Linked DNA regions of Notamacropus eugenii. The protein of the gene in region 1 purifies or fractionates together with the protein of each later gene. This does not show direct contact. Links are inferred from orthologs where the notes say so. Each region holds a gene or a part of one and is shown on either strand. Other genes may lie near its edges. The genes, in order: protein argonaute-1, TNRC6C and TARBP2.

What was found.
Region 2: the proteins of protein argonaute-1 (region 1) and TNRC6C purify together in Homo sapiens (affinity purification with mass spectrometry; 5 studies listed by BioGRID and IntAct, with this or other methods). This does not show direct contact. The link is inferred for Notamacropus eugenii from reciprocal best matches to the Homo sapiens genes AGO1 and TNRC6C.
Region 3: the proteins of protein argonaute-1 (region 1) and TARBP2 purify together in Homo sapiens (co-immunoprecipitation; 4 studies listed by BioGRID and IntAct, with this or other methods). This does not show direct contact. The link is inferred for Notamacropus eugenii from reciprocal best matches to the Homo sapiens genes AGO1 and TARBP2.

Annotation. Positions count from the first base shown.
Region 1 is NC_092876.1:83,777,364-83,785,208, forward strand, and holds the start of protein argonaute-1, read right to left. Parts: upstream 3,010-7,845; 5' UTR 2,840-3,009; coding exon 2,815-2,839; intron 1-2,814.
Region 2 is NC_092873.1:319,097,482-319,105,296, reverse strand, and holds the start of TNRC6C (trinucleotide repeat-containing gene 6C protein), read right to left. Parts: upstream 3,068-7,815; 5' UTR 2,934-3,067; coding exon 2,904-2,933; intron 1,582-2,903; exon of another isoform or gene 1,456-1,581; intron 1,127-1,455; exon of another isoform or gene 1-1,126. UniProt on the Homo sapiens protein: Plays a role in RNA-mediated gene silencing by micro-RNAs (miRNAs). Required for miRNA-dependent translational repression of complementary mRNAs by argonaute family proteins.
Region 3 is NC_092874.1:226,513,813-226,520,806, reverse strand, and holds the start of TARBP2 (RISC-loading complex subunit TARBP2), read right to left. Parts: upstream 3,076-6,994; 5' UTR 3,016-3,075; coding exon 2,879-3,015; intron 2,215-2,878; coding exon 2,015-2,214; intron 1,508-2,014; coding exon 1,405-1,507; intron 1-1,404. UniProt on the Homo sapiens protein: Required for formation of the RNA induced silencing complex (RISC). Component of the RISC loading complex (RLC), also known as the micro-RNA (miRNA) loading complex (miRLC), which is composed of DICER1, AGO2 and TARBP2.

The DNA.
Region 1 (7,845 bases):
CTTAGAACTCGATAATACGGGCAACACGGTAGCAATACTGGAGTTAGGAGAGATGCAAGTCCAAATTCTGCCTCGGGTACTTAATAGCCCTGGGATCATGGGCAAGTCACTTCTACCTCTATGAACCTCAGCTTTCTCATCTGCAAAATAGGGTAATGATACTTTAACATGGAGCTCACAGGTTCTCATGAATCTCAGATGAGAATATTTGTGTAGCCTATTTTAAAGCATTAACATAAATGTCAACTACTATTATTATTATGACAAGCCTAACAGTGCTACATAAATGTCACCTATTATTATATGGGGAACATGAGGATAGAAGGGGAAAAATCACCATCAGTTCTCCAACAACAGCCTGCAGTCCAGCCTGCCAGGTACCTACTTAAAACTCCCTTGGAAACAGGCACCTAAGCAGCCAGGGTGGCAGGCGTCATCATTTTTAGCCTCCTTACGTGGGTTGTGGTAAGAAATGATTTGTCCTGATCCATAAGACTGTTGCTGAGAAAATACTTTGAGGAGACAGAGACATGGTCCCTATTTACTAGTCCTATGTGTGATCACAATCTCTCTCTGCCTCAATTTCCTTACCCATAAAACGGAAATAATAGTAGCACCTACCTCAACAAGTAGGGTGGCTGTGAGGACCAAAGGAAATATTATATGTAAGGAACTTTGTGAACCTTAAAGCACTACAGAAAAGTTCACTGTAAAGGCACCAAAGTGTACAGGAAAGATTGCTGGACTTGGAATTAGGAGAGAAGGAGGGGGAGGCGCTCAAATCACTGACACTCTCTTAATTCTTGTCCTGCCTGCACCTGGTCCACCAATTCATGGTCCACCACCTGAAGAAGAAATGTCAGTCCTTAATGTCTCTCCCACCCGATGGGTGGGTGGGAGAGGGCCTATAGCATCGTTCCCTGATGGCCTTCTAGTTTGGGGAACAGAAAGAAACAGGATAGCCTCCAAACCTCACTGAGTATCTAGACTCCAGCATTTTCAACTTCTGGATTGACTTGCCTCAGTTTCCCTCCATTTCTTGTTTCCTCCATTTCTTCTTAATCATGAAAGGCCGGTGAAGCTGATCTCTACCACCCCAACAAAAGCTGACTTACAATGGGGTTAACTTAGTAGCAACACTCCCCATCCTCCCCCAGTCCCCCAAAGTGTGTATAGTAGAAGGCAGCAGGCAGCAGGGGCCTGGATTGTTTTGTGTCCAGGGCCCTGACAGCTGCTCTGGGTGGGGGAGGGGAGAACGCCGGCTGGCTCACTCCACAGACCCTTACTGAAAGCAGGGCTGGGAAAGGGATTTTTTTTTTTAAATGTTCTGAAATCTTGACACCCAAAGACGTTCCAAACGAACCAGGCTTTGTGCGTGGATTTAAATTCCTGATTCTCCCCCCACATACCGAAAGGGGGAGAAGAACCCAAAACCTCACACACCTCCTCAATGGGAGGGAAGGGGGGCGGACCTGGGCATTCTCCAAACCTTCCAACAAACCAAACCCAGCAGGAAAAAATCAGACCCGATGTTGGAGGCAAACCCGGGGACCAGACAGGCTCTTTCTCCCAGATTTCCAACCTCGCTCCGCCTCCCCATCAATATTCCGGCGCTAGGCTCCTTCTATCTCAGGAGCCCCTCCCCAAACCAGTGTCCGAATCTATTAGTCCTCGCCCCAACCCAATCAATGTCAGTTTCCAGGCCGATGAACCTTCACATCTGTCTCCACGAACTGAAATCAACATCACTTTCTAGGCCTTGAAATGCTCATATTTCTGCCCCTCCAATTCCTCCTATGCATCAGAGAAAGGAGCTATGCTGGCCACCCCAAACGTAAGGCGTCCCTAGGATCCAGCAAGGGGGAAACTCCCCCAAATCCCATAGCCTATGGAATCTCGGAGACAGGGTCTCCTCCCCCTGCCGCCCCCGCCCCCACCCCACCCGGACCCCAAACCGACTCAACGCAACCCAGCTCTGCGCATGCTCGGGGCTTGGGCCCCCCCCCCCCCCCCCAACCCCTCACCACTTCTCTCCACCGCCCCCAGACCTCAGGCCCCTTCCCCCAATTCTACTTTTTTCAACTGTGGAACACCAAAGCCGCCTTCTCTCACAGGATCCAGAGTCTGATCCCCTATCCCCCTCTCCATCCAAACCCCCAGCCTCTATCGCGGCCTCACTTCCCTTCCCCCACCGCAGCCCAAACACCAGGAGCATCCCCCTCCCCGAAGGTTCATCCCTCTGCTCAGACTGAGCCCCCAGTTCTCTGGTTTCCCCGCCCCAGCACTACGAACGCATTCTCCTGAGCTCGAATTTTGACCCCCATCCTACCTCAGTGTCCCCCATTTGCCCAGGCTTGGGAACCTCAACAATCCTCAGGTACCACCAAAACCCATACTCAGAGCCCTTCCCATGCTGTGTACACAGGGTTTCCCCTGCAGCCAGGAGATACCCTCATCTCCGGAACCCGGGCCTCGATCCTCCCCCCCTCCACAAACACAAGTCTCAGAATCTCAAGAAGCCCTTTCCCCATAGATCCAAGCCTCTCCCTTCCCCGCAGGTGCACTGAAGCTTCCCCCGCCACCTCCAAGCATACAAGACCCCCTCCTCACTTTGCAGACGTACTGCCCCCCCTCTCCATGCACACAGCCCCCCACGCAGGTGCACAGGCCTTTCTCCCCTGTCCTCCCAGACATGCACACATCCATGCTCACAAGTCCCCCTCCCCTTCTCTAGTGACACAGACCCCTACGCACCCACACACAGAGCCCCCGCCCCCCTGTGGCACCCAGGCCTCCCCTCAAACAGGCCATTACCTGCTCCCGAGGGTCCCGCTTCCATCCCATATACCCGTGTGTAGGTCAGGCGGCTGGGAGAGAGTCTGGTGCACGGCGTGGGGGGGCCCGGGCCTCCGTCGCTCCCGTGGTTCCCGCTCCCGGGCCGGGCTCCGCTCCCCCCCCCCCACCCCGGCTGCTCCCGCCCGCCGCCGCCGCTGCTGCAAGCTCTCCCTGCAAGCAGCCGGCCAGCCCTAAGTGCGCAGGCGCGCCCGCCCCAGGGCCGAGAGGGTGGACGGGAACAAGTCAAGCCCGTCTCTCCAACAGCAACAAAGGCCAGCGGAGCAGGGAGGGAGAGAAGGCTCTCCGAGTGGCCCGCCCCCTACCGCCCAGTCGGCGGCGCTGCACGCCGAGCCCACTGCCAGACTCGCGGCTCGAGGCTCGGCTCTGAGCTTCAGGCTCCGCAGCTGAGCAGGTGGGATTGCATCTGCACCCCAGGGCTCTCCCAACGAGGGAGGGGCCCTGCTAGACTAGCATGGGGGAGGGGGAGTCTGGAAGCCGAGAGCGTAACACTGGCCCGGGGCCAGCATTCTCCCCGGCTCTGTAGCCCAGAATCTTTTGTCTGACGAAGGCAGCCTGGGGCAACGGTACCTCCAGCACTCCCACCCACCCAGGGAATACCAGAAGCACACTGAGTTGCTCCCGACCTGATCTTAAGGGGAGCTTTATTAAAAGACGCAAGTCAATTAGTCTCTGAGCCTCAATTCCTTGATCTGCAAAATAGAGATAATATGGATGACACTTCTTATTCCCTGGGGGTGGTTTTGTAGTGAGAAAAGCACTTTTTAACCTGAAAGCACAAGAGAAATGTATTATTATGATTAATTATCATTATCACTATACCAAACAACGCCAGGGAGGGAAATGAGCGCAGAACTATGGAGGAAGGAGAGCTGAGTTCTACTAAATAAATTTGATTTAATGTCTTTATTGAGCACCTACTATATTCATAAGTCTAGGGACACAAAGGCAAAAAGAAATAGTTCTTGCCCTCAAGAAGTTTACTGTTACTGAGTGTGAAACAGATATACACCCGAGTAAATACAAAATATATAAAAATGAATACTAAGTAACTTAATGAAACTAACAACTGGGGAAATTAGACAAGATCTCGGATAGCAGGTGGTACTTGAGCTGAGCCTAGGAATTCCAAGAGGCAGAGGGAAAGGAGAACATTCCAGGCATGAGGAGAGGGGGCGGGAGAGATATCCTCTGCAAAGGCAAGGGCAAGGGAAGTGGAAGTGTCCCTCCTTTATGAGGGCCATCCAGTGGGCCACTCTGGCTGGAATGTAGAATGACTGAAGAGTAATATGAAAGCAGTCTAGAAAGGTAGGCTGTAGCCTGATAGCTTTAAATAGCAAATACGTGCACCTATTTTATCTTATACAAAATAGTAAACCATTGAAGTTTCTTGAGCAGGGAAATGAAATGGTCAGAACCATACTCCTTAGCTGTACTTTAGGCAAATTACCTCTCTCAGTACTTTCCCTGTCTGTAAAAGTAAAGAGGGTTAGACCAGATACTGAGGTTCTTTGCAGAAGAACTAGACTTCTGAAGACCCAAAGAAGCAAAATGAGAAAGGCAATTAATTAGGACTTCCCTGAAGATGCAAAGAGACAGGTCATACAAGAGAAAGTGTTACTCCCCTCAGATAAATATCCCCTCAGACACTACAGTGGAAATGCCAGTAAAAAGAGGCAGGATTAGCAGAAGAGCAGAGCTATAACTAGGGTGGGGTGGCTGGGACATAGTCCCAGTTGCTAACAGTACTTACATTACTTTAGCAGCTAGAAAATACTTAGCTTAGCACCTAGTTAACAAGAATTAATTAAAATGTAAAGCTACCAGATGGCAAGCTCAACCTGTGATAGAGCTTCCTTGCCATATCCCAGGATTTTGTCCTAGGGTTTTTGACACCCAGCCACCACTTGTGTTTGTCCAAAAGGCTGACGTCAGGGCATGTTTTATGATGTTTGCCTCAGCATTAAAAAAAAAAAAAAACGTTGGTCATGGCTAACTCAAGGCTCTACTCAAAGAAAATTATTTTTCAGAAAAGGTAAAATCAAAGAAATAATAAAAGAAAAACTAACAGAATGAATAAAATATTATAGATGAAAAGATGCTGATGCAAAAATGCCAGAAAGAATATAGGTATTAGTACCAACAATAGTAGTTTGAGAAAAGGAAGCGGGAATTATCCCAGGTTACATGGTATATACGATGATCACCCTAAGGAGCACAGCCTTTGGAGTTAAGCATGCCACCCAAATGGCCTTTCCTTCCTAAGCCCAGTTTGAACATATCTCAGGCTTTAGCGGAACCTTAAACATTTTTTGATATCTTTTTTTTTACATCACCTTTGCCTCCAAATATATTCAATCCCTCTCCTCTTACCTCCCCAGAAAGTTGTCCCTTGCAAAAAAAAAGCCAGAGGAAAAAAGCAGTTCAGCAAAATAACCAAAATATTCACCAACTTTTAGAGTATATGCAAAGTTCTATACAGAGTCCTCCACATCTACAAAGAAGGAAAGTACATTCACTCTTTCATTTCATTTTTGTTTTTCCTTCCATTGATTTTTCAATTATTATGCATGTTGCTTTCCTAACCTTGCTTACATCTCCTGGCATCTGTTCATATGTCTTCTCATGCTTCTCTGAATTCTTCATACACATTGCTTTTTATTTGATAGAATGGTGTTTTTTAAACATCAACATAAAAAAACCCCAACCAAACAGACCATGTTTATTTGGTCATTAGAAGTCAAAAGACCTCAGTCAAAGTTCTGCTACTAACTGGCACAGTCACTTCCATGGGGAGCAAGTGACTTAGCCCCTTTGAAACTGAGTGATTAGAATCTCAGCCTCAAAAGGGATCTCAGAGTCCATCTAATCCAACAGATATCTGAATAAGAATCACTTATAACATGGCCAACAAGTGGTCATCTAGATTTCTCTTGAAGAGAGATAAAATTCTTTATCTTCCAAGAAAGTTCATTCTTAACTGTTAAGTTTCTTCCTACATTAAACCTAAATAAGCCTCTTCCAGGTAACAGCCCTGCAGATACTTGAAGACAGCTTTTATCTCCTACTTACTATTCCCCAATTTTTTTATCATTATATGATATGCTCCCTGGACTTCTCACCATCCTGCCACCTTCTTTTGGTCATACTTCCTTCAAGTTAACTTCAGGCCATTGGTTATAATTCTTTGGGGTCAATCATTTGTCCACTTTCAAAAACTCCCAAACATAATGCCATCCAACCTAACTATCTCCACCTTATCTGTACGTCTAGCATGGGAGATTATGTCAAATGCTTTTGTAACAGTGGTGTGGGCTTTATGTGCTTTTAAGTTTCACCTCGTTTTATACAGACCCTTGGTCTAGCCTATTCAGAGATCTGGGACTGGTACTCAGTCATCCACTATGTTGGCTGGCCCCCACAGCTTCCTGTTGTCTGTAAGTTTGATAAGCCTGCCATCTAAGCTTTCTTCAAAGACAATGACAAAAATGTTGAATTATATAGGACCTTTTGATAGGTATTCCAGATGAGGCTTGAGACACTATTGTTGCCATAGCAGCCCACATCAGCTGGGGCTTTTCTTCCTTGAGCTCTCAGGAAAATAAAGTGCCAGTTTGCTATTAGCTATAAAATAAAAGAGTTCAGAATTTTCCCACCACTTGGTGCTGTACCAAACTACCAGCCCAGTGATCCATTCAAGGTATCTTTAATCCAGGCACTGAAGAATAGAAATATATACTAATATCTCTTTTAGTTTATGCCAACTACCCACCCTGCCAAGCAAACCATGTGTTTCATGGGGCTGAACAAGAAGGATACCTTCTTTAACTAGGTTCTGAATCTAGACCAGGGATTGAGGAAACATAGCATATAAATTACTGGAAAAAGCTCAATTTTTAACCTTTATATTTATATTACACAAGAAAACAGTTTTATCTGGCCATATGATGTAGTAGATATTTATAAAATTGCAAAGGAAATCATTAAATGCTCCTATATTGGAACACTTGGCCCATTTATTTCCTAATTCCTCATCCCTCAGCCACAGGTTGTGGAAAAAGAATGAGGGTATGGTGTGATGCTGTTGTCTAGGCCCTGGCTCCAGGTTCTAAACTGGAACAGATAAAGCAGGGAAGCAGAGGGGAGTGAGGAGGCTTGGATTAGGATTGGTCGCCTGGCCTTCCCACCAGCCAATAAGGTTTCATAGCAGATCCCAGTCCATTTTTCCTATGTGCTCACCTCTCCGGGCTGGTCGGTCTATCTCACTTCCAAGATGTCTTCTCATCTCTATCCCAGGAACCCCGACAGCGCTGCTCTCCAGGAACAGTCCCAGCTCTCCCGCCACTCTCAGCTCAGGCTGCAGTGGCAATCAGTTGCAGCAGCAGCAGCAAACAGCAGCCTGCCAGCAGCTACCTGACCTGCAGAAGCCGTCTCTCTCCTCTTCGCCTGACAACAGAACTGAATAGCGGACTGGAAGGTCTTGCAAAGGCAAAGGGCCAATCTACCCACTAGCATGCAAATTTGATAAGCAGGCACAATCTCTCCCTGTCTTCCTCACCTCTTACATAGCCTCATCCTTACCTCTAAGCATACATTTCAGTAGTAGCACCTCCAATGTCTTTCAGACTTTACTTCCCCAGTGAAAATCCTCAGTGTACCTCCAGCACACACAGTGATGAAATACGCTTCAGATTTCTACCCTTTGCTAAAGAATACTTCATATATAGTATTCTCCCAACCTACAGATTTAGTTGTCCTATCAAAATGGGAAATTAGTTATGAGATATTTTGAACACAATAGGTCAATATAATTTATTTTTAAAGGAAATGATGTTATTCTAAAAGAAATGTGGATGACTTCAAATGTATAAGGGATATTGTATTTCTTGTGTTCTCAATGGATGGGAGAGAGAGAGGAGGAAGGGAGAGAATTTGGAACTGAAAATAAAAATTAAAAAATAGAAAGAAATGAAGAAAGGGTAACAAATAAAG
Region 2 (7,815 bases), on another chromosome or scaffold:
ATTGGTCACTAGCTACGTATAATCACTGACCAATCAACCTGAGCCAGAGGAAAACAGGAAACTTAACAAGAGTCCACATTTTTGGTGCATTCACATTGCTCTTGATGATCCAAAATTAAACATTTGAAATAACTTTAAGGAAGGTCCTACTTTTCTGAAGTTTAAAAATCATCTGCATGATAATAACCAGAAATAGCCATCTCTTCCGTTTGAAGTACACCTATACTGAAGGAAAAGCCAAACTATGGCAATACAATATATGCCACTCAGAAGCTACTAAACACCTGATGTAGCACTCCTTGAAGGCACTTCACTTACCAAGACATTTGTACACCATTTTGAGTTCCGAACTTGTAATTCACATCTGGAAATAGTAGATCATTCAAATGGAGGTTTAGTTGGGATTTTGTCAAAGATTTGAAACAATTCAACTAATTACATACAGAATCACAGTCAAAGAACAATATGATAGGTGCTACCCACCAAAAAGAAAACTCCATTTACTCCAATCGTTCACTGGATAAACAACCTTTATTTCCAAACTTCACTTTAACACACAAGTGGTATCTTAAAACAGGAAATCCTACACTTACATATGCGTGCTTAATAGCTCTGGATCAATTACTTAAAATCCTATTTACAAATCACAAGCGGAAACAAATGTTCCTTAAACAAGTGAAATTGAGGTACTCCGAGTAACGTTATCTTTTAACAGTACAGATGTTGCACGGCTCATCTTTTCTCATATACATCACTTGCTGCCCACAATGCCGTTAGGAAATTCACCTGAAGAGATGGATATGCAATAAGATCACCATCATCAGAAAATAAAATCCGAGTTTTAAATTTCTCGATGCATATGCAAACGAGATGTAAAAGCCAGTTTCCCTTAATTTTATATTCGACGCGAGTCTATAATGTGAAGGCTTCTTTTAAATGGGAACAGATTTTCCTCAAATCCATACTGCCAAACCAAAAAAGGGGGGAAAAAGGGCGTCTTTTATTTGTAAATGATAGATTCAAATCATACAACTGCCCATAAACGCAGTTCAATACATAGAAATTTAAAAACGCATTTCCAAATAACAATAATGAAAATGCCTTTTTCTATCCCCAGCACTGCTTTTTAAATAAACACGAGTGAATAATAAAAAAATCCACCCAGGGATCATTTGTTTCTGGCCAAACGGCAAAGGAAAAACCGTGATGCCAGCACAACAGACCTCAGCTTTCCCCCCCCTTTTCCCCAAGCGTCTGATGGAATTGCGGAATTACATCCTTGTGGTAAAGCAACCTTCGCGAGCAGCTTACCCAGCACCTCCCACCCAGACACCTCAACTTGGCCGAACAAAGACATTCTCGGCATCTGGGAGCAAGTTGGGGCTCCCGAGGTCGGACCTTGCGGTGCGCAGGGCTCCCAGCCTGGGGAGCATCCCCGGGTCCAGCCGCACTCACCTCGGCTCCTGGCCCAGCGGCGGCTGCAGCTCGCGGCTCCGGCAACGCAGGAGGCTTAAACCTGTCAGGAGCCGCCCGGGGGCTTCGCTGGATCTCCGGCGGCAGAAAGAACCCTTGCCCTCTCCGCTCCTCGGAGTCAAGCACCGGGGCCAGGGGCAGAGGTTCCCGCCTGCGCGGAGTCCGGCCCGGGCGGCGGGTGGGAGGTGGCGGCGGCGGCGGCAGGGAGAGCAAGGAGGCGGCAGCGGCGGGTCCGGGCAGGTCCAGGTCCTCGAGCAGCCTCGACTAGCCCTCCTCCTCAAACGGGGGAGCCCGAGCCGCAGAACGGCAGCGGCGGCGGCGGCGAAGCAGCTCCGCAGCGGACCCGGGCAAGCGCAGGGCCGACTCCGCTCCCACCCACGGCTCGGGCGGGCCTCCCAGGGGGCGTCCAGCACAGCGCTGCAGGAGAGGAGACAGCTCCGGCAGCGGACAGGAGATGGAATCAATGAGAGGTGTTCACTGCTGCTGGGCGGCGGCGGCTGCTGCTGCTGCTCCCGGGGCCCTCGCGCTGAGGTGCGGAGCTGCCACCGCGGCCATTTTGTTGCTCTAACTGACAAGAACACCACCTCCTCCTCCTCCCTCCCTCCCTCCCTTCAGACAACTGCCCCCCCCTCCTCCTTTCCCCCTCTCCCGCCAGACGGGGCGCTCGCGCCCCCTTCCCCGCCCCTCTGCGGCTTCAAACAGGAAGTAGTCCCGGTCCCTGGCACGTGACACCCACCGTATCTGCATACTAGAAGTTCTGGCCAATCCCGGGTCTCGCTCCTGCTCCGCCCACAGAGCGCGTCCCCTCCACCCTCGACCACTGGTTCCTCGGCGTTACGCCACGCCTTCTCCTGCCTTCCCCTCCCTAAACCGTAGCACCGGCCTGGTCTTGGCGAGCCCAGAGGAGTCTTATCCATCTTACTCCCCATCTCCCCTCTCCTCCCCGCCTCCGGGGTACGAGGGAGCATCCACGCAGTTTCTTCCTCTCTTTCCTCCATTACCAGCTCTCCCCCCACTCCCCCGCCCCGTCCTGGTGATGTGACTCCGTGTTATCTCATTGGACAGGAAGGGAGAGGAGGCCCTGTCTCAACATCAGCTCCATTTAAAATCGATCCGAACGGTCCCCGAAGCAAAAGCTTGGAGGAGAGAAGGGCCCTGAGGTGGAGCGCAGGATATTTATGCGACGGTACAGCAGCTCCAGTAAAGCACACATCCCCGGGGCCCCAAGCACGTTCCCTCCCCCCGCCCCAGCCGACCACACACGCGAACCCCTCCCCCATCACCCATGCACACGCATGAACACGCATGCATGCCCACAGACCCCAAAGGAAGCCTCCCCCTGCCCCCTTGGCTGAGTTACCCCACCAGGTACATTCCCCCCCATGCACTTGCCACCCAGTCCCGACTCCCTGCCCGCGGCTCAAACCAACCTCAACGCCAAGCAGCCCCCGAGCAGACATCCATGTTTTGGCCGCGACACAAGCACGCTTCCCTTCTGCCCACCCCGGGGTCTGCGTACGCGCCCGCACTCGGGCTAGGCGCGGCTGCTGCCTCCTTCGCGGAGGTGTCCTAAGCCTAAAAGCCGCCTCCTCCCCTCCCCCGCTGTTCGCAGAGGGTCGATTGAACGCAGGAGGCACTCAAATGTTTGCTGAATGGAAACACCGCATTTTTATTTTAAATTCCAGCTAGAGCACGGAAGAATTTCACGAAACCAACAATTTTCTCCATTTTTTTCGCACAGCATTTGGGGCAAACGCCTTTCCGCATCCCCGGGCTCAGAGGCACTACTTTAAAGCTTAGGTAACTCCCCAGGCTTCGGGGAGGGACTACAGTACTGTCCATCTTTGAGGACTTCCTAGCGGATGAAGGAGATAACGCTAATCGAGGGGCAGGATGGTTCGTGCCTCCTTTAGTCCCACTTCTCCCGGGAGCTTCGGGCGCTCCTGCCTTCTTGGGGCCATTTTTTACCTTTCCCATCCATACTCAGACTCTCCCAGAGCTTTCGAAGGTGCTGTCCGGTTTCTGGTTCTGCTGGGTGGCCTTTCTTAAAACCTTCACCAGTCAGTAAGAATTGAACCCCGACAGCGTCTCTTGATTCCTCCACTCACCATTTTATCCACCTTCTTTTCACTCTTGTCCTCGAAGAGCTCACATCCTTCCTGTTTCTGTAAAGTTGGCATACAATTACAAGATACTCCCCAAAAGGAGGGTATAGGATTGAAGAACACCTACTGAGCCAGAAGGACTGTATCTGCACTGGACCCAGACATGCGGTTTGAAAGGGGTTCGGTTCTGGGAGAATCCAGTCTCTAATGAGTAGGATCTGGTTCTCTTTTCTCACACTTCAGCTTATTAGAGCTAAAGCCCAGTGAGGGAGAAAGGCCACAGGGAGGAAAATTTACTTGTAGCTTAGGTTTAGGCTCACACGGTGGATTTTCCCAAATTTGGGGAGTAGAAAGGTACCCTATGCATAATATGAATCTTGTATGAGGGTGGGTATTTATTTCTTATACACACACACACACACACACACACACACACACACACACACACACACCAAAACACAAAAGACTCTCATAAGGGCACATTAACAGTAAGAATTAAACCAAACTATCTGTAGGGCTAACCATAAAACCATTTGTGGAATTGATTATTAGGCATTTTACAGTTCACTTCGACAAGTCTGATAAAATGGACCAAGTTGGAGCCTCTTATTGCTTTTCAATCTCAGTAAAACTCTGGAGTAGTTTCCTGGGATTCCTTGTTCCCATCATTTAGTTCTTTCCAGGATCTTTGAACCTTTGAATTCACGAGGTCATCTTACCTGCATATAATCGTCTTGGGAAACATACTTATTCACCTGAAATAAGGAAAGGAAACAAAATTGGAAAATAAAGCCAAGGTCCCAAACACAAGCTCAGATAAGTCTCCCTGCACTAGTTGTCATGTGAATGGGGTCACCATGATGTTGGGGTGAAGCCCTTCCTTATCCCATAATGGAAATCTCAGTTACATGATGCCATCTGCAAGATGGAAGGGAGAGAAAACCAGATAAAAACTCTCTCCCTTTTACTGAAATAGTACCCCACCCCACCACTTCTATCAGTAGGTAGAAAAGGACCATGGAATTATGCAGGGGTTTCTGCATCTTTATCAAAGCAACAAGTCCTTTCTGCAATTATTAGAGGAGTGGGGAACCTGAGGTCTCAAGGCCGTATGTGACCCTCTAGGTCATCAAGTGCAGTCCTTAGACTGTATCCAAACTTCACAGTACAAATCCTCTTAATAAAAGAATTTGTTCTGTAAAACTTAGACTTAGTCAAAAGGCCTCACCAGAAGACCTAGAGGGCCACATGTGACCTCGAGGCCGCAGGTTCCCCACTCATGGTCCACATGGCTGCTAGCAGTCAGGGACTTTGCCATATCAAATATCTGCTCAGATGTTGAGTTTCTTTGTCCCTGAAATTCCTGTAAGTTTCTAGGAGAGCTTTGGGTTCAGGTTGTCTGTAATGGCACCAATTCAACCTCTACTACATGGGCAATGTAACAACTTCATATCTCAACCATATAAAATATTAACTAACTTATGAAATTCTTGAAGATTCCTATGTTTGACTTGTGTTAATATTGTAAATAAGTAGAATTTAAATTGACCAAAAAAAGAATGAAAAACATAAGACCAGACTTCTACTTTGTCCTGATTAGATGCCTTTTCTATGTGGCTTCAATTTTTCAATGTCTCATTCCCCCCTTCCTTAAAATAGAGGTAGTAATCCCTTCCTCTTTTTATTAACATGTAAATTGTTTAGCTTTTCATTAGACAGTAATTTCTGGAAGACAAATATGATATCTTTTCTTTTTGGTATGACTTTCATGAAGCCTAGTAAGTGTTCTGCACATACTGCAATTCCTAAGGGAATCAATTATCAGGGAAATTCCTAAGCAAAATTGTCCAGTAGGTAGGTATGTGTTTACTACTGTCCTACCTCTTTATCAGCAGTTCTTTCCTCTAGTCCATACCTTCAACTTCTGACTTAAAAGTCCTAATGGCAAAAGTATTAGCTGATAAAATAAGCTGGAAAAATCTTTTAAAATAAAATGACAGGCCCAAATCCTGTCTTTCATCTTAAAAACAACCAATTGCCCAAGTGTAGTCTGAGGAAGTACAGTTTGACAGCAGTTTATGCAAAGAAGACCTAGAGATTTTAGTGGACCAAAGCTCAATGTGTACAAAAGTGTTACAGAGCTGTTAAAGAGCTAATGTAATCTCAGATTACATTAAGAGATGCCTAATGTTCAGATCAAGAGAAGTAATATTCCCACTGTATATAAATGAACTGGGTGAAAGGTTTATAGATCATGTCATATCAGAAACACTGAGAAAACTGGGAATGTTTAGTGTACGGAAGTAACGATAAATGTGACATAATATCTTTCTTCACATGTATGAAGGCCTGTTACATGGAAAGGGGAAATAGACTTTCTGTATTACTGCAAACCATGGTACAAGAAGGAATAAGTATGAATTGCAGGAAGTCAGATTTTGCATTAATATAAGCAAATACTGCATTGTAATTAGAGCTGTCCAACAATGGCATGAACCATCTAGTAAGTGAGCTGAGCTCTTGTGGCTCAAGTCAAAGGTGTAGAAGGAATTCTTGCATGGTAGGAAGAATGTCTGTATTTTGTTCTAGCATCACTAGGTCCTTTTTGATTCTGATATTTTATTATTCTGTAAGAGTTTTTTATTTTTTAAAGTTTTTAAATATTTAAAGTTTTTAGTTTTATTATTCTTTTAAGAGTTAAAAGGAGTATGATGGGAGACAACACATGTACAGACTCTCTCAGCTTGTTCAGCTGTTGCAACTTATCCACATAGAAGATGCTAGGGAGTTTACTTCTGGGGAAGTCTTGACAACATATAAGGACAGTGCCATGAAGAGACTGTGGAGCGTACATGAACATTCTGTAACTGGTTCTGGTTGGGTAATTGTGTTGTTGGAAGGAGCTTTTTTCAGTTGGTTGCATATCTAGAACTGTTAGTATTCTCAAAAAGGCCTGAATCGGTTTCCACTATCCCTTTCTTTCATTTGTGTCTGAGGAAGCTAAGTGCCTGTTTCTTTCAGAGCATTCAGTAAAAGACCATGTAGTAAAGGGCTCTGAGGCCATATGTCACATACCCTTTCCCTCCAACCCCAAAATGGGCCTCTGTTTTTGTTCTTAACATTCTTGTTTTAGTCATTCCCGGTTCTCTCATTCTTCTTACCCATTCTAAGTGAAGGGAATGGAGTTCTTGTTCAGGAGAGTGATCTACAGGAATCCAGGCTGAGTTTTGCACTTATTGAAGTATTGATGGCCTTATGAGCAAGGAATGATGTTTTGAAGTGATCTTTGGTATTACAGTACATTGGAAGAACTCATCCAGAAGGATATGGAGTTGGTGGGACCAATACCATGTAGGAACTGAGCTAAGTTTTAGACTTATTCCTAGAATCAGTAGGTGATACAGTGGATAGAGCACTCCATTTTGAGTTAGGAATACCTGAGTTCAAAAATCCAGCCATCAAACACTTACTAGATATATGACCCTGGGCCTGTGAAAAGACTTGGAGTGAAGAGGTGGAGTGTCAAATACATGTACTAACAAGTAAGCTACTTTGGCTAGAATGATTATTGAGAAATCAATGTAGAAGAATAGGTTGGAGTTAAAAAACTGTGAAGCGTTTTAAATGTCAGGTAGAAGAGTTTGTATTTTATCCTAGAAGCAATAGGGAGTCACTGGAGTGCTTGAGAGGGATAGGAACAGGGTCAGACATGTGCTTTAGGAATATCAATTTGGCAGATGTGTGGAACTTGGGTTAGAAAGGGGAGTAATTGGAAGTAGGGAGGCTAATTAGGGGTTCAATGGAAGACTGAGAAATCTGGAACCTTAGGAGTAAGGTTAAGGCTAAGATTAATAGACAATAGCTAATATTTTTATGAATCTAGAACATTATGCTATTTCTCTAGAATCGACCCTAATATGAGTCATACAGACATAACTCTCAACCATACCATCTAAGCTACCTTCCATTCAGACCCTTCTGAAAATACTTTAATTTTCTGGGGTATAGATTACATAAGAAGCATGCTTTTGTGAGAAACTGTGGAATTAAGCTCATTCTTAGCAGTAGAGAGTAAGGAATCATTAAAAAATTTTCAGCAGTGGAATGACAAAGTCAAAATATGCTTTGAGAAGATGATCCTGGTAGAAGGATATAGAGATTGGAAACAGGGAAACCAAGTAAGAGGCAATATGTACTGAATATTGTGATGGCCCTCTAAAAGAGACGATGCTTTCTT
Region 3 (6,994 bases), on another chromosome or scaffold:
AAGTCCTTCCAAACATATGGCCTTAGTCTCCGCTGCTGAAAACAGGCTTCCCCACCCTGAGAAATAAAGACTCCCACACCATAGAAGACTTGTCTGCTCCCCTCGAAATAGCTATTTTGAAGAACTCTAGACTTTAGATTTGAGAATATGGAACATGTTCTGACCAAAGAGAGGAGAGAAAGTCACAGGTACCATCTGTCCCAGGTCAAGCCAACTATCTCTAGTCCCAAAGAGTAGGGCACAGAAACAGCCCATCTCTTTGAGGACACATGGCAGTCTTCCTGCCCCCAACTCCACTTGCTGGTATCAGCTCCACCACTCCTCCCCTCAGGCATCCCCCAGCATTGCTGGACTTCACTATGTGACAAGGATAGACAGGCGGCTTGGTTTCAGTCTTAGCCTGTTGGGGCTCAGAAAAGACCTGCCCAAGGCAGAAGGTGAACCACTCCCAACTCCCTTCACTCCTTGAAGCCTTGCTTGCTGCTGAGGTGAGGTGGGGTGTGAATCAGGCCCAGCAACAGGGGTATCAGCAGAGAGCGGGCATTCTAAGAAGACAACTTCCCAAGGACTGGGGAACATGTTTCTCCCCATCCTGTACTGTCTTCTCACCCATCAGAAGGAAGCCCAAAAGAAGACAGAGCCAATGGCCTCTCAGCGGAATGGGGAAGTTTTTCTACTCAAAGAGCCAAAAGACGTATTTAGAATTTTGGAGGTATTTAGGATTTAGCATTTTTAGAAGTGTCTAGACTGGCAGGAGAAGAGGAAATATGGACAGGGCAGAGGTCCCTGTGGGAATCAATCTCCTCAAACAATTACCCTCCCTAAGGACCTCTTCTCTGGGCAGTGGTGGACAAAGAACTAGGCCTGGAGTCAGGAAGACTCATCTTCCTGAACTCAGATCCTGTCTCAGACACTGGCTAGCTGTGTGACCCTGGCCAAGTCACTCAACCCTGTTTGCCTCCATTTCCTCCTCTGTAAAACGAGCTGGAGAAGGAAATGGCAAACCACTCCCGTATGTCTGCCAAGAAAACCCCCAATGGGGTCATAAAGAGTTGGACATGACTAAAACAAGGGCCCCTCAATAGGGGCTCGGCTCAGCCAATGTGAATGACCACTGTACTAAGACTCCTTCACAGTCTAATGTAAACAATAGGAAAAAGGAGTTTTGCTTGGAGGTTATCCCCTATTAGACTAAGACCTCAAGTTTCAACCCTAAATCAGGGTCCGTAAGGACTGATCCTTCGAGGGGCCACTAAACAGCTCTTTATGCCCTGGGAGTGGACTCAGCTGTTGGTAGATGGTGGGAGAGATCAAACTGCCTATTACTAACTCAGGTAGTAAGTGGTGCTCAGATGGGTAGGGCAGTTTTCTCAAGGGCTCAAAAATTACTTGGACACACCTCACCTTCCATCCTCCAGAAACGGCTCCAACATGTTTCCTCCCTTCAAGTGTTTGAGGGCCACCTCAGCTGCTTTGTGTTTGGCAGCTTTCTTGCTGGGGCCCTGACCTGGGAGAGGGGTGGCAGGTTACACAAGAGCCAGAAGAACCCTCATCCCCATCTCCTGCTACCCCCACCACCCACCACCATGCAGGACTAGAATCAGGCCATTCCAGACAGACACTTCCCTAGCAGTGTCTGTTAATCTCTTCTAGTATCTCACAATCTACTCTCAGTCCTTTAAAAATACTTCATCGATGTTTTTAAGAAACCTATCCTTTTCCAGTGCCCTCCCACCAAAAGAACTCTTTCTCATTATTCTGGAGAAGCATACTTAAGTAAAATCAGGTGATCCCTGTGTCTGACAGCATTCTGCCCCTCTGGGGCTGCAGATGACACCCCGACCAAGAGGAGGCTCCTAAGTTCCTCCCGCCTCCCCCATACCTAAGCATGCTCTTGGTTCCAGCTGACTTTCAGAAGCACTTGAGGCTCAGACACCCCGCCCCCAGCCCCTGGGAGGAAAGTAAAGGCCCCTCCCCCCAGGCGAAGCCCGGTGGAGGTCCTGAGAACACGCACCCCTGGCCAGGGCACCCGACGCCCCCTCACCAGTGCAGCTGGTGTCACCGACGGTGACTCGGAAGGTGAAATTGGGCTGGTGGGCTTGGCCCTCGGCTTTGAGGAGGTCGTACACGGGAGTCTTGCCTATTCTGGTGCCATACTCCTGCAGAAGGCTGATTGGGGTCTTGCCGGGACTGGCCGCCAGCATTTGCTCTATACTAGGGGGAGGTACACAGGCCTGCATCGTGGTCCCTCTCGGACCCCCCACTGACGGGCACTGCCGGCTGGCACCCGGGGTGCGGGATGGCTAGGGGCCCAGGGGTATCGGGGCGGAGGCGAGGAGCAGCTCCACCAGCTGTCCAGAGGCGGGGAGGGGAGCCAGAGGGCGCGGGGAGGGGCATGCTGACGACCACCCCCTGGGCGCCCTTAGGGAGTGAGGAACAGAGGGCTCATGGCCAATGCCCCCGAGTCTAGCATCCTTGGCTCCTCCGGCCAAGTGCATGATGGGAAACTCAGGGCCTACAGCCCTGGGGCATGCGGGGAACAAAGGGGGCCGCTGTCTCGGGGCATTCTGGGAAATCAAGTAAACGCTGAAAGCTGGGTAGCCTCCACCCAAGTGCATGGTGGGTCCTTAGCAGCCACCACCGTGGTGCATGGTGGGAACAGAAAAGCCCGTGCCGTGGTGGCTGCTGGGAATAACCCCCCCCACCGCAGTGCCGTCCCGTCCCGTCCCGTCCCGTGGCTGGGCTAACCACCCCTCCTCACCCCCAACCCCCAGCCCCAGCCTTCCAAGACCCGGTGCATGCTGGGTCTACGCGCTCCGCCTCCCTCCCGCACTGCGGCCTCCGCCCTGCAGGGGTCAGTGTGAGTCGGCCAACTCACCTGGGGAGTCCGTAGGCTGTGATGATCCCGGAACCCTGCTCCTCCTCACTCATTCCCTCCTCCGTCCCTGCGGGCGCCACCGTGACTGCAGGCTCCGCGCGCCCCGAGCCGCCGCCGCCGCCGCCGCCAACGAGCATGGGCTGGGGCCGGGGCCGGAGCCGGGGCCGGGGGAAAGAGGTGGGCGGGGGGGGGGGGGGGGGGGGGGGGCGTCGCGGAGCATGCCGGAACTTGTAGTCCTCGATCCTCCCCATTCCATTGGCCTCCATGAGAAGCGAGGCTACCCGCCCCACAATTCTCCGGGGGAGTTAGCCCACCCAGGTCGCAGTGGCTTCTGGGAAGAGTCGTCCTCCCCCCCCCAAACTCGCTCACTGTTTTGCCCTCCTCGGTGTGCGAGGATGATGCTGTGAGCATGCGTGCTGGAGGATGATGGGCGGAGCCTGGAAAACTACAAGATCCAGAAGTCTCGTGGCCGCTGAGCGAGTTCCCCTTGAAGGGGTGGTGCCCAGCACGCGCCACGGGTACAGCCACGTCGATTGGCTCCTCCTGCCAACTCCCTCCGAGCCAGCTGCCTGCGATTGGCCCGCTCGGAGCCGAAGGGAAAAGCGAGAGGACCAGAGACTTGGGGAGCGGGGTTGGGGCACCACGGAACATTGGGCGCTATGGACTCTTTCCCAGGAGAACCTGTGATTGGCTGAGGGACCCGCCCCCTGAGGGGAGCCTGGAGAAGCCGGCAGAACCCTGCAGTGTGCCGGGGAGTGAGGGCTTCCTGCTGGAGACGGGAGGGGAGCGGGGGCAGTGAGCGCTCCTGGAAATCCATCGCGTCCCCCAGTTTACAGAATCCGCACCCCATTCTTGCTTCGGTGTTCTGAGCCCCAGTCCTTGTTTTCTTCCCCGCTCCCCCCCCCCCCCGGGTGCATCATTCACCTGACCCTGCCTGGGTAAACTCCTGTGCACCAAGTAACCCCATCCCCTCCCAGAGGACCCCCAAATTCCTCGTGTTTCCTTTGTCCCCAGAAGCCTGAAAGAGAGGTGCCAACAGGGCAAGGGAGAAGTCCTGCCCTCTAGCCATTCCCTCTCACCCATCCCGGGGAACCAGTATGCTGGGGGGTACAGGATTGCGATGGGAGGGGAAAGCGTTTGGGCCAAAAGACCAATTAGAGAAAGATGGAAGGAAACTCACTCGGGGACTGTCCATGGTAGTGGAGTTAGAGCTGTGGATGGAAAGTGGAGTGGGGTGGTGAGGGTGAAGAGCTATGGAGACCCCTCCTCTTCCTAACCAACCCCAGCCAACCATCTTTGTACGGGTTTAAGCCTCTCGGGCCGACCGGCGAAAGAAGGGGCCCGAGGGTCCAAACGAGGTCTGGAGGAAGTCCGCCCAGAGGCCCAGGCCGCGGCTCCCATTGAATCCAAAAGCTTCCTTTGTTGAGCTCTAGGATGAGGGGGGTCTTGGAGGAAAAGAAGGGACAGAGGGGAAGCAAGGAAGACCGTTTTTATTTTCATCTGTGTGGGGGGAAAGAAGTTGAAAAAATGTGCCCCGAGGGGTCCTGAGCGGGATCCCGTCAGGCTGGGATGTAGGCAGAGGAAAAGGCCTGGCTGGACCCAGGTGATGGGGGAACATGAGAGAGCTGGGGCGAGTTTGAGGGGAGGGGGGGAAGAAAGGGGTGCTCTGTGACTAATGTTGAGTCTTGGAGGGAGGACGGCGGACATGGGAGACCCCGAGGACTGGAGAGGCAACTTGAGGGGCGCGGGGGGCGGCCCTGGGGAGAGGCAGAGCGGGAACCAATACCCGAGTTGCGGGGGGAGCTGGGGGAGGGGGCGGGGAGGGGTCTCGGTTCCAGGAGCGGGGGGATGAGCTAGAAGCTGGGCCGGGGAGGGAGCAGCGGGCTCCTTTAAGAAGCCGGCGGCTCCCGGCGCATCTCCCCCGCTCAGGGCGTGTCCGTCCCGGAGGGCCAGGGGCGGGGGCCGGGCCGGCGGGGGGGGGTGGGGGTCGGGGGAAGGAGCCGCGGCCCTGGACGCGGCGGGCCGGAGCATCGCCCGTGACACCGCCCCGGCTCCGGTCAGGGGCAGCGGGCGGGGGCGGAGGGAGGAGGAGGAGGAGGGAGGGGTGGAGGCGAGGAGCCGAGAGCAGCATCCGGAGCAGAGCCGCAGCAGCGCCGCCTTTTGTGCTGAGGCCGCGGCCGAGCCCCCCAGGTGAGAGCCGGGCCCGGGGGGGCGCCGCGGAGTGGGGGGGTCCTGCGGCCCGGAGGGGCGGGGCGCGGCGGGATGGGGGGCTCCGCGAGCTTGTGGGGATGGGAGCCCCAGGGCGGTGGGGGCGGGAGGGTGGAGATCGGAGGAGGAGGCTGGGGCAGAGCCGGGGGAGACGATTCGGGCGGGAGGCCGGGGGAGGGGGGGGGGGGGGGGTAGGACCGGCAGAGGAGCCGAGTGTGGATGGAGGAGGATGGAGGGAGACGGGAAGGGCAGGGCAAGGCCTGGCGCACCTGGCAGGGCAGAGCCGGAGCCTGCAGCACCGAAGGCACCTGCTCCTGGGTGCCCAGACCTTAGGCCCCCTGGCGCCTGGCTCCCCGCGGGATAGCCCTCCTCCATCCAGCTGTTGCATCCCCCCCCAATGTGACATCCATTCTCCGCCTCATCCCTCCCCTGGCCTCGGCCTTGGGTTCGATGAAGACAGGAGCACAGAGGAGGGGGAAGGCTCCCAAACGGAGGAAGTAGGGCATGAGGGGCCGGGAAGGAGCTGGCCCTAAGAAGGGAGGGGGTGCCTCACCCCGGGAGCAGAGATTCACCAACTCCTTGGGATGAGAGCAGCCGAATCTCTAGGTGGGACGCTGGGATTCTCCCTGACCCTGCAAGCCTATCTTTCTAGGTGGGAAGAAAGATCCAGCTGAGTTCTCTCCAGCAACCCAGTTTTCTGTCAGGCTAGGAATAATAGCTGGCATTTCTATAGCACTTCAAGCTTTACAAAGTGCTGTACATGTATCTTATTGGCTCCTCACAACAGCCCTGGGAGCTCCATACTGTTATTATCCCCCATTTTACAGATAAGGAAACTGAGGCTGAGAGAAGATAAGTGACTTGCTCAGGGCCCCAGAGCTACCAGATGTCTGAGGCAAGATTCAAACTGGGGTCCTCCTGACTCTACCTCGATGCCACAGTGAAGGATTTCTCCCAGATCCTACCAGTATCCCTGTAGATAGAGCCACCTGCCCTGATTCCAGGTTTGACAACCCTTATTTTGAATTAAACTCTGTCCTTTCTCAGCCTCTGAACACATGGGGTTTTAGCCAGATTGGTGACACAGCTGGATTAGTGAGGTACGAAAAAAGGCCAAATCTAGCTTCCTCTGCCCAACTGCTTTCAGTGTTTCCTGTAAAGAGCCCTACCTAGGGGCCCAATGGATAGAGCCCTGGGCCTAGAGTCAGGATAACTTAAGTTCAACTCCAGCCTCACATAGTTATCAGCTGTGTGACCGCAGGCAAGTCATTTAACTTCTGCTGCTGCTGAAGTTTCTTCAACTCTAAAATAAGAAGGAATAAGCATTTATATATATAGCACCTACTGTGTACCCAGAGCTTTACAAATATTCTCTTATTTGATCTTCACAACAGCTCTGGGAGGTAGGTGCTACTATTACTGCACCTCCCCCCCCCCCATTTTGTAGTTGAAAAAACTGAGGCAAATAGAGGTGAAGTAACTTGCCAAGAGTCACACAGTTAGTGAGTGTCTGAGGTCCAATTCAGGCCCACTGTTCCATCCACTGCACCGTATAGCTGTGTATGGTAGGGATAATAATAGCACTTATCTCCCATGATTATGAGGATCAAATGAGAGAATCTTTGTAAAGTGTTAAGCATAGTATCTAACTATGCTGGATGCTACTGTTACACACAGCAAATGCTTACTTCCTTCCAAGCCTGTTTTTCATTTAGGGGATGAGAACAGTGTTTGTTGTCCCTCAGCCCATCCTGGAAACTGGGGTTACCAGAGGCAGACTTCCACTCCCACAGCTACTCCCCTCCCACAACTACCCAATGCGTCCCCCCAACTAACACACCGCCACACAGCCAGACAACCAGCATGTCTGAGCTGGAGTGGAGTGACCGGCAGGAAAGAAAGCATAGG